Regions from separate parts of the Mus musculus genome. Here all the other regions are reported to be linked to region 2. The links are microRNA targets in miRTarBase. Many come from high-throughput screens and were not tested one by one. Region 2 holds a microRNA gene; each other region holds the end of a gene's coding sequence.

Evidence for each region. The annotated mature microRNA mmu-miR-3087-3p reads UAACUCACUGUCAUGUCCUCA and lies in region 2 at 2,184-2,204, shown strand. An mRNA with a match to its seed (bases 2 to 7 or 8) in the 3' UTR can be bound and repressed. Matches are read on the target gene's strand: a 7mer-m8 pairs with bases 2 to 8, a 7mer-A1 pairs with bases 2 to 7 and ends in A, and an 8mer does both.
Region 1: the mRNA of Mob3c is a reported target of mmu-miR-3087-3p. Seed matches in the 3' UTR shown: 7mer-m8 at 1,579-1,585.
Region 3: miRTarBase lists Fsd1l as a target of mmu-miR-3087-3p. Seed matches in the 3' UTR shown: 7mer-m8 at 1,686-1,692.

Annotation. Positions count from the first base shown.
Region 1 is chr4:115,833,564-115,836,667 of GRCm38, reverse strand. It overlaps Mob3c (MOB kinase activator 3C), which reads right to left. Exons shown (of 4, transcript NM_175308.5): 3 at 2,833-3,035; 4 at 483-2,546. The coding sequence ends at 2,517. Among named protein-coding and RNA genes, the nearest start is that of Mknk1, 4.1 kb to the left of the region's middle.
Region 2 is chr2:25,440,630-25,443,733 of GRCm38, forward strand. Mir3087 (microRNA 3087) reads left to right here and starts at 2,150; the gene lies at 2,150-2,205. It overlaps Abca2 (ATP-binding cassette, sub-family A (ABC1), member 2), which reads left to right. Exons shown (of 49, transcript NM_001368624.1): 23 at 1-92; 24 at 181-363; 25 at 559-743; 26 at 850-970; 27 at 1,246-1,482; 28 at 1,562-1,768; 29 at 2,021-2,123; 30 at 2,206-2,525; 31 at 2,600-2,813; 32 at 2,900-3,005; 33 at 3,097-3,104.
Region 3 is chr4:53,700,886-53,703,989 of GRCm38, reverse strand. It overlaps Fsd1l (fibronectin type III and SPRY domain containing 1-like), which reads right to left. Exons shown (of 13, transcript NM_001195284.1): 13 at 1-2,949. The coding sequence ends at 2,827. Among named protein-coding and RNA genes, the nearest start is that of Fktn, 12 kb to the left of the region's middle.

The DNA.
Region 1 (3,104 bases), not on the chromosome of region 2:
CTGTCTGAGTGGTTGTGGTTTAGGGGCAGTGAGTTCTAGCTGTCTCCTGGGGAATATGCTCTGGATTGAAACCTGCCCTACCTCCCCTACTTTGAGTCCTGAGAGGGGCTCCTTGTTCTGTGGTTGGGGTTGGGGCTGTATTTCCTACTGCACTTTTAGCCATCGGTTCTTCCAAACCACCCTGACATGAACCAGCATTGCCAGTGTCAAAACAAGGAACAATTCCCTCCTTTGAATGAGTACCTTGGAGGCACACCCTGCACTGCCCTCCTACGACATCCTCAAGGCTCTCGACTTATCTTACTCTACGACTCAGAGCCCTGGGAGAACTTGGGTGTCCCCACACTGGGTAGCTAGTCAGTCATGACTGTGCCCATATGGTCCAGGAGCTTAGGACAGAATGTCTTAATCCCACTCTAACGGTCTCTCCTACAATCCACCAAGACACGTGTGGCACCCAGAACACCACTTCCCACCAGTGGTTGCTTTAGTTTGTATCTTTTATTTTACAAAAAAATAGCAAAATCTTTCTTTTCACAAAAATAGATTTCCCTCCTCCCCCCTCCCCTGTGGTCCCTTTTCACAGCCTAGATTTCAGAATATATTCTGCAGCCCACCGTGGGGGGAATCTCCCACTGTCCTCAGTTCTGAGACATTGCCAAAGCTGCAGGCCAGCCTGTTTCCCTTGGGGACTTTTCTGGAGCCAGCAGACATCCCAGGTCCTGCTGCCCCGGAGAGCCCCACTGTTTCTTTGGAAGGCAGGCAGTTCCTCAGCCATAAGAAGGGGCCTGGTTTTGGAGGTTTGCCTCAGCAGCCATCTCTAGCCAGGCCAGGGTGTGGTAGGGCTTTGTGGCATCAGGCTAGAAATCCTTACTCAAAGCAGAAACAGTTGTGTCCTGGAGAGTGTCTGACAGCCTCTATTTGCACATGCATCTTGGTGTTGCAATCAGCAGGCCCTAGAGTAGAAGTCAAGAGCTTTGAATTTTTACCGGTTTCAATTTCCTCCAATGCATATTGAGAGACAGAGACAATATTCTTATGTGACTTCTTGCCCTCCTGGCCTCTCAGGATAAAGGCTCTGGAAGGGCAGAAACCTATTTCTGCCGGTTTCCCTGCCTGTGAGTCTGTGCAGAGGGCTCAGCATGGAGGTATTAAGTAATGGCTAATGAATAAGCATCCTAGCCTCTCTGGATAGCTGTGGCTTGGAAATCCAAGAAGCCTGAATGTATCAGGAGGCTGGGCCGAGGCAGGTGTTTTTAGGATGGGAAGGTCTCCATCAGTTGCATGATCCTCAGTGTCCTGAGATAGAAGAAAATTGGATTCTTCAATTCATTCAAGTTCCAGTGGCTCCCTGGTCTGGAGGGCTATTTTGTGCTGGCCTTCAGTCATGTCAGTAGATTCTGGGTTTGAGATTGAAGTATCTTGTGTCCAAGTTCAAGATCCAGGGGACCCTGAGGGATCAATCCCAACCCTCAAGAGGCTGACCATATGTTTGCTTGTTTTTTTTGTTTTTGTTTTTGTTTTTTTGTTTTTTGTTTTTTGAGACAGGGTTTCTCTATGTAGCCCTGGCTGTCCTGGAACTCACTCTGTAGACCAGGCTGGCCTCGAACTCAGAGATCGAACCTACCTCTGCCTCCTAAGTGCTGAGATTAAAGGTGTGTGCCACCACTGCCAGGCTCATAGGCTTAATGATATCAGGCCCTGCTAGAGGCAGAGATGAGTGAACTAACAATCCATAGACATCCTTGGCTGGGCAAATCAGCCCACATGGTGATAGGTCAGAGGTTTAAGGAACTCAGGGCAAAGCTGCACTGTCTAACCTCCACTCAAATGCCAGGGACTCATGTTTATAGAAGATGGTAGTCTAGAAGATTCAGAGGTACAATTCCATCTATACACACACATTTGTACACTTGTACACATGGTCAGAGTTGGGTCACTAAGCTGTCATTACTCCTAAAATGGTCATGGACTTATAGTTAACCTCTCCATCTATCTATACATCCATCATCTATCCATCCATAATGAGAGCCTACTATGTGTCTGGAAGGACCTAGATCTCTCAGACAAATCCCACAATCACACACACACACACACACACACACACACACACACACACACACACACTTGCTTACTCAGGAACAGGCACTCACTCTCTATAATTTTCTTGCCAGCACTCAGCCACATCCTTATTCCCCCATGGAGTTGGGAACTGTCATGGTAGAGTGTAAGGTTGAAATATCAGAGCAGAACCCTGGTAGCCTGCCCTACTCTTGGACTTAATATGAGGGGCTAAACTCCTTTTCTTCTGTGGCCCACTTGGAACCCTCCCTTCTTCATGCATTCTAGGATGCAGACAGACTTCTGAGAAGTCCAGAGGTGTTGGGTCTATAGAGGGTTCCTACTCTTAAGCAGGCCTTCAGATTTCTCTACCCACAGGCTCCTAAGGGTCCCCTCTCCAGGCTACACTGTCTGCAGATGGTCCATCTGACAGGCAACAGCATCCAGATCTGGACTCAGTGACAGATCCGTTCTGTCATCTCCCTCTGTAGAGACACAAAGTAAGGAAGGGTTAGTTTGATCTCAGCTTGCCAGGCAACTCCTTGCCAAATCATGGGGTTTATTGAGCCTCACCCCTCCACCCCTAAGCTGCAAATCATGGCAGCAGATCTGGAGTTGTAAACTGACATCTCCATGAATTCTCTATGAGAGTACAGAATCTAATGATAAATGAGTTGTAGCCCCTGGGTATAGGCGTTTCATACAGCTCCTTTGGATCTGAACTTTCAGGAGCGAGCACTGGTAGCACAGGGTAGTGAGACATGACCTTACCAGTGGCTCCAGTTCCCTCTGGTCCACCAGGCTGAACTCCTGGATGAAGTAGTAAAAGTGCTTATAGCAGGTGTTGACATGTGCCTCCGCCCCCATGCTGAGGATGCTGTCAAAGTGGTGGATGTAGACATGGACAAAGACTCGGAAGAGTCGGGTCAGGATCTTGGTGCAGACCTGCTGGAAGTTCTTGGGGAAGGGAACTCCTAGGGATGGAGATGAGTGGAAGAGGAATCAAAATCCTAGGGAGAAAACTCTGCCTCCCCCCACCCAGG
Region 2 (3,104 bases):
CTCTAGAGCCATTATCTTAGACGAGCCCACGGCTGGCGTGGACCCCTATGCTCGCCGTGCCATCTGGGACCTCATTCTGAAGTACAAGCCGGGTGAGCAGGCTAGCGGGCTGGCCGTGGCGGGGGTGGTGTCTCGGCCTGCCCTGTCTGTTCACTTACCTTGGTGTTTGGCCTACCCCAGGCCGCACTATCCTCCTGTCTACCCATCACATGGATGAGGCTGACCTGCTGGGGGATCGCATTGCCATCATCTCCCATGGGAAGCTCAAATGCTGTGGCTCTCCCCTCTTCCTCAAGGGAGCCTATGGCGATGGGTACCGCCTCACATTGGTCAAGCAGCCTGCAGAACCTGGCACCTCCCAAGGTCTGTGCTGAGACTACTTGAACCAGCCTCTGGTCCTCCGTACCCCATGATTCCTTACCTAGGAGAGGTGCAACCTCACCCTCACTTCATGGGGACTTGGGACACCTCTAAGCCTCATCTCGACTTGCTTGCCCACTAAGGCCCCTTCTTCCTCAGCCTCTCACGCATCCCCTTCTGCTCCCCCTTCCTTCCCAGAGCCAGGGCTGGCTTCCAGCCCCTCAGGTTGTCCTCGGCTGAGCAGCTGCTCGGAGCCGCAAGTGTCCCAGTTCATCCGCAAGCATGTGGCTTCCTCCCTGCTGGTCTCAGACACGAGCACCGAGCTCTCCTACATCCTGCCCAGCGAGGCCGTCAAGAAGGGGGCCTTCGAGCGCCTCTTTCAGGTGTGTGGGGCTGGCTGTGGTGGCTAGGGACACGAGGGGCCCGGAGAGAAGAAGGACACGTCGCTGCCTGCGTTCCGTGGCGCTGCCTTACCCGATCTCTTTGCAGCAACTGGAACACAGCCTGGATGCGCTCCATCTGAGCAGTTTTGGGCTGATGGACACAACTCTGGAGGAGGTGTTCCTCAAGGTGTCTGAAGAAGATCAGTCACTGGAGAACAGCGAGGCTGGTAAGAGCACCCAAGGCTGGCGGTCTGTCCAGCTACCCACAGAAGGCCCTGGGGACACTGCTTCTCTGTAAGTCTCTGGAAGTGGGGTCAGGATAGGCTCGTGGTGGATGGTATGGTAGCTCTGCCTACCTGTGAGTAGGTATGTGAATTAGAGGCTGGGATCAAGGCAGGGCCTGGGGTTATGGGAGGACACTAGGGACTGAGGTACTAAGATGTCCTGGAGAGGAGAGCCTTGGCCCAAGCCTTCCCTCCCTCACCGCCTCTGTTGTTTGCAGATGTGAAGGAGTCCCGGAAGGATGTGCTGCCTGGGGCAGAGGGCCTGACAGCTGTGGGGGGTCAAGCTGGCAACCTGGCTCGGTGCTCAGAGCTGGCACAGTCACAGGCATCGCTGCAGTCTGCATCCTCTGTGGGCTCTGCCCGTGGGGAGGAGGGCACCGGCTACTCTGATGGCTACGGTGACTACCGTCCCCTCTTTGACAACTTGCAGGACCCAGACAATGTCAGCTTACAAGGTGGAAGCCAATGGGGAAACTGGGGAGGGTCCAGAAGGGTGGCGTGGGACTGGCTATTTACCTCTGCCTCTCTGCACAGAGGCAGAGATGGAGGCCCTGGCTCAGGTGGGCCAGGGCAGCCGCAAACTCGAGGGCTGGTGGCTGAAGATGCGGCAGTTCCATGGGCTCCTGGTGAAGCGCTTCCACTGTGCTCGTCGGAACTCCAAAGCTCTCTGCTCTCAGATTCTGCTGCCTGCCTTCTTTGTCTGTGTGGCCATGACTGTGGCGTTGTCTGTCCCTGAGATTGGTAAGGGTGCCTGGCCCATGTGGTCTGGGGCGAGGCTACTGTCTTGCCCCTGGGTCTTGGCTTCATTTTTCTCCCAGCCCCCTGTAGAACAGTCCTGAGCTCCTCTCCTCACACTCTGAACCTTACTCAGGGGCTCATGAGAGGATCTGTCTCCTTAGGAGTCATCCCCACAAGCTCAGCCCTCTCTGTGTTAGGGCTGGGGCTGGCATCAGATAACTGCAGTCTGCTCAGGTCTCCGTATTCACCCATCAGGTGACCTACCTCCACTGGTCCTGTCACCCTCTCAGTACCACAACTACACCCAGCCCCGTGGCAACTTTATCCCTTATGCCAATGAGGAACGCCAGGAGTACCGGTGAGGCCGTGGGCTGGGGCTGTAGCACAGGGCAGGGCAAGAGTTGAGACTTATGGCTCCTAACTCACTGTCATGTCCTCAGATTACGGCTGTCACCTGATGCCAGCCCCCAGCAGCTGGTGAGCACATTCCGGCTGCCCTCTGGTGTGGGTGCCACTTGTGTGCTCAAGTCTCCTGCCAACGGCTCCCTGGGACCCATGCTGAACTTAAGCAGTGGAGAGTCCCGCCTGCTGGCGGCACGGTTCTTCGACAGTATGTGCCTGGAGTCCTTCACACAGGGGCTGCCACTGTCCAACTTCGTGCCACCTCCGCCCTCACCCGCCCCTTCTGACTCACCCGTGTCCCCAGATGAGGATTCACTGCAAGCCTGGAACATGTCCCTGCCACCTACTGCTGGGCCAGGTACTACCTCAGGGAAGGCTCCGGGGGGCACAGGCATGAGTGACCCATCTCATTGTGCTGCACTGTGCCCACAGAGACGTGGACGTCGGCGCCTTCTCTGCCACGCCTAGTGCATGAGCCAGTCCGCTGTACCTGCTCTGCACAGGGCACGGGGTTCTCATGCCCCAGCAGTGTGGGTGGACACCCACCCCAGATGAGAGTGGTCACAGGTGACATCCTGACTGACATCACTGGCCACAATGTTTCTGAGTACCTGCTCTTCACCTCTGACCGTTTCCGACTACACCGGTAAGTTGGCCTGAAGTGGCTGTGAACAAGGGGTGCCTGGCAGATGGCTGCCGAGCCTCAGTGACCCTCCCACCTGTCTTGTACAGATATGGAGCCATCACCTTTGGTAATGTTCAGAAGTCTATCCCAGCATCCTTTGGTGCCCGGGTCCCTCCTATGGTGCGGAAGATTGCAGTGCGGAGGGTGGCTCAGGTAGGCGGCTGCCCTTGGGTTTTGGGCACCTGGTCCTAAGCCTAATAACTTTTGGTTTCTGAGCCTCTCTGAGGTCCTTGCCCCTCCCCAGGTGCTCTA
Region 3 (3,104 bases), not on the chromosome of region 2:
CAAATTCTTTTTCTAAAGTGCTTAAGGCAGCTCCTTCCTGTCTACTTCCAGCTAAATGAAACTGGTTTGGATTCAACTGCTAAGAGGGAAATACAATACTTAATACATATTTTATGAAGCAGTTCTTCACACTGGTTATATATCCCTTACAGTCCACCTCCCCTATATTTCCTTCATGGAAAGCAGCCATGTCCAAGCTGTGTAAGCAGACATAGAGCAGTGAAGAACGCTGGAGTGAAGAGGGCTGGCCAGCTTGCCACAGCTGACTGAGCTGAGCAGTTACCTTGCTTTGAGAAAATTTAACTAGGCACTCTATTCAATTATTTTAATTTAAAAAGAAGGGTTGACAAAATTCAATTTAACATAATAAACTTAAGATTTTTAAACTTAAATACTACAGATTTGTTCTATTTTTAAAAGAGACCCTGATGTGTATTTTAAAGCAATGAGGGTATAATTAGTACCTAATATCGTGTGATAAGAACTTGGACTCTCATTCACTGACGTTATACTTCATTCTACAAATCTGCTGAGAAATAAAACCTTCTGGGTAACTGTCGTGCGTTTTCCAATGACTGTTTGGAAACTGTAGATGAAGGTCTCAATGATGGGACAAGGACAAGGAAGAAGCACACTTGCTCCTCTGGCCTCAATAGAAGGCCTGCACCACTATGGTCCAGTGTTGCCTGCCTTAAAGTCAGTAGACAATGAGCATGAGAAAAAGGCACTGTATAAATGAGAAGATTCAACTATGCAAGATACAGTATCATAATGAAAAGGTCTATGAAAACAGCTGGCTTTTTCCTTGTCATTTTTGACAAAATAAACTTAGTAGCCACACAAAGCAATTCTAGTAAATCACTGCTTTCAGGTATGAGTCTACAAAAAGGAGTAATTCCTTTTTCCCTAGGTCATGAAATACCATTTCTATAGGTAATGGAACAATGAAAAATGTCTTTCAAACTATAATAAATGAAAAGTAAAATATTGCTTTGGGAAACCAAAAGAATATTGATATACTTCATTCTATAAACTGCCTTAGTCTTAAAAACTACCAGTGTGTTATCAGATAATAGTGTAGATATGTGTGATATGGAGAAATAATATTCTGTCAAATTTGCTTCATCAACAGAACAAAAATAATCATGCTACTAAGTAGTAAATTTTAAGAGCAAATACTTATTATGATCTACAAGCTACATGAAGAAAACAAAAATGAACACTTCTCCAGGGAAGTTTGTCAGAAGTCCAAGAAACTTAAAACAAGAAGAGATTTAGAAGTCTCAAAAATTAATCAGAGATCAAATATTCATTTCTTTAAAGTTCTTAAAGCAGTTTTACAATCTCAACTTCTAGTTTGGCTCAAAAACCTTGAATGAAAAGTTTTAATTGACTTTGTAATAAAAGACTTTTCCGTTAATAACCACAGGTTTTGCTCACTGCTTCCCACATGCCTTCAGATTTGAAAAAGGAAACTATATTCATTTTTGGAAGAATCATAAACTTTTAAACAGTGAATGAATGGACCAAAAAGACAGAAACAAAAACCAAACCAAATCAAAACACCCCTCAAATGATTGTTTGAAAAACACATATACCAATTAAGTAGGACACATTTTGTTTTTGTTTTTGTTTGGTTGGTTTTTTTGAGACAGGGTTTCTCTGTGTAGTCCTGGCTGTCCTGGAACTCACTCTATAGACCAAGCTGGCCTTGAACTTAGAAATTCACCTGCCTCTGCCTCCCAAGTGCTGGGATTAAAGGTATGCACCACTATGCCCAGCTAGGACACATGTTTTTTTTTTTAAACAGCTGGTAAACCAATCCATATCTTTATAAAAGAACATACAAATTATTCCAGAAAAGAATACTTTAGGCACATTTCTTTATAATCTTACACAGACAAAAAACAAAAAAAAACAAAACAAAAAAACAACAAAACCCAGCAATATACAGCTTTTTACCCTTTATAAAGAACTTAATTCACAAACTTTCATAAGCAATAATTATTATCAGTGCCAAATTCAAGTGGAAGTTTTATCAAAGATGCAAAGACAGCTATAAAAGTGGGGTCAAAGCAGAGAACAAACTTAGAGAGCACGGTTTCTCAGGTGGTGCCCAGGAGCTGGTGGAGGAATGGACAGAATGACTCAACACAAACACACAAGAATACTCCTTTGCACTGCCTAAATTCTCTGTCTGCTTGATATTTTTGAGTTATAACTATAAGAAAATACTACAATATTTTAGAGGAGAAAGTGATATGAATCTAGTCAATCCATAAGTTACCCTATCAAAAACTCAGTTTATTTATAAAAGACTAAAATAAGCCACCATAGGTCAATTTCTCTGCCTAGGCAAAGATTTCAATTTCTAGGAAGCCTTGGGGGACCTTGTGTTTTTAAAGCCTCAGTGTAGCATGTAATGACAGCCGGTGAGGAGCAGAAACAGAGCAAGGGCAGGGAGAAAGGCAAGCTTTTAATGCTTAGCAACCCGGGCCCAGGGCTCGCCAGGCGTAATTACACCTACCAGACAAACCAGAGGAGCTTAAGAGACAGAAAGATGGCTTTCTACACAAACAGTTCAACACCGCCCCTTTCCTAATCACTACTCAATATCACTATGTCAGCCTCCTGCACCCCAACTGCTTGATTCTGGGACGCAGGCAATAACCTCCATGGCTGCTTCCTATTTGGTAGTTAATCTAACAGACTCCAGGCTTTAAAGCAGAACATAGAAAACCTGATTCCACCACTCAGAAATATCTGTTAGTAACTGTGTGGGAAAGGCCACACAGTCAAAGGGAAGGGAAACAGTCTGAGTTGCCATTACTGAGTGACATTGTTCAGGCTGCTAGTTGAACCAGTCATTCCGTTTTCACTTTTCTGAAGTGTTCTCACAGCACTTGGAACCTGCATTCCAGTACTCAAAGAAAGTCCACCACACCACACCTAAGAGAAGACAAAAAACAAAGTCTCAGTTAAACTCAAATCCAATTATAACTCCAGTAATCCTTAACTTTCCATTTGAAAGGCAAAATGTCACAGGGATGAACATCAACAAATCCCAAACTGATAAGCTTCGTGCTCGAGCTGAGGAGAGATGA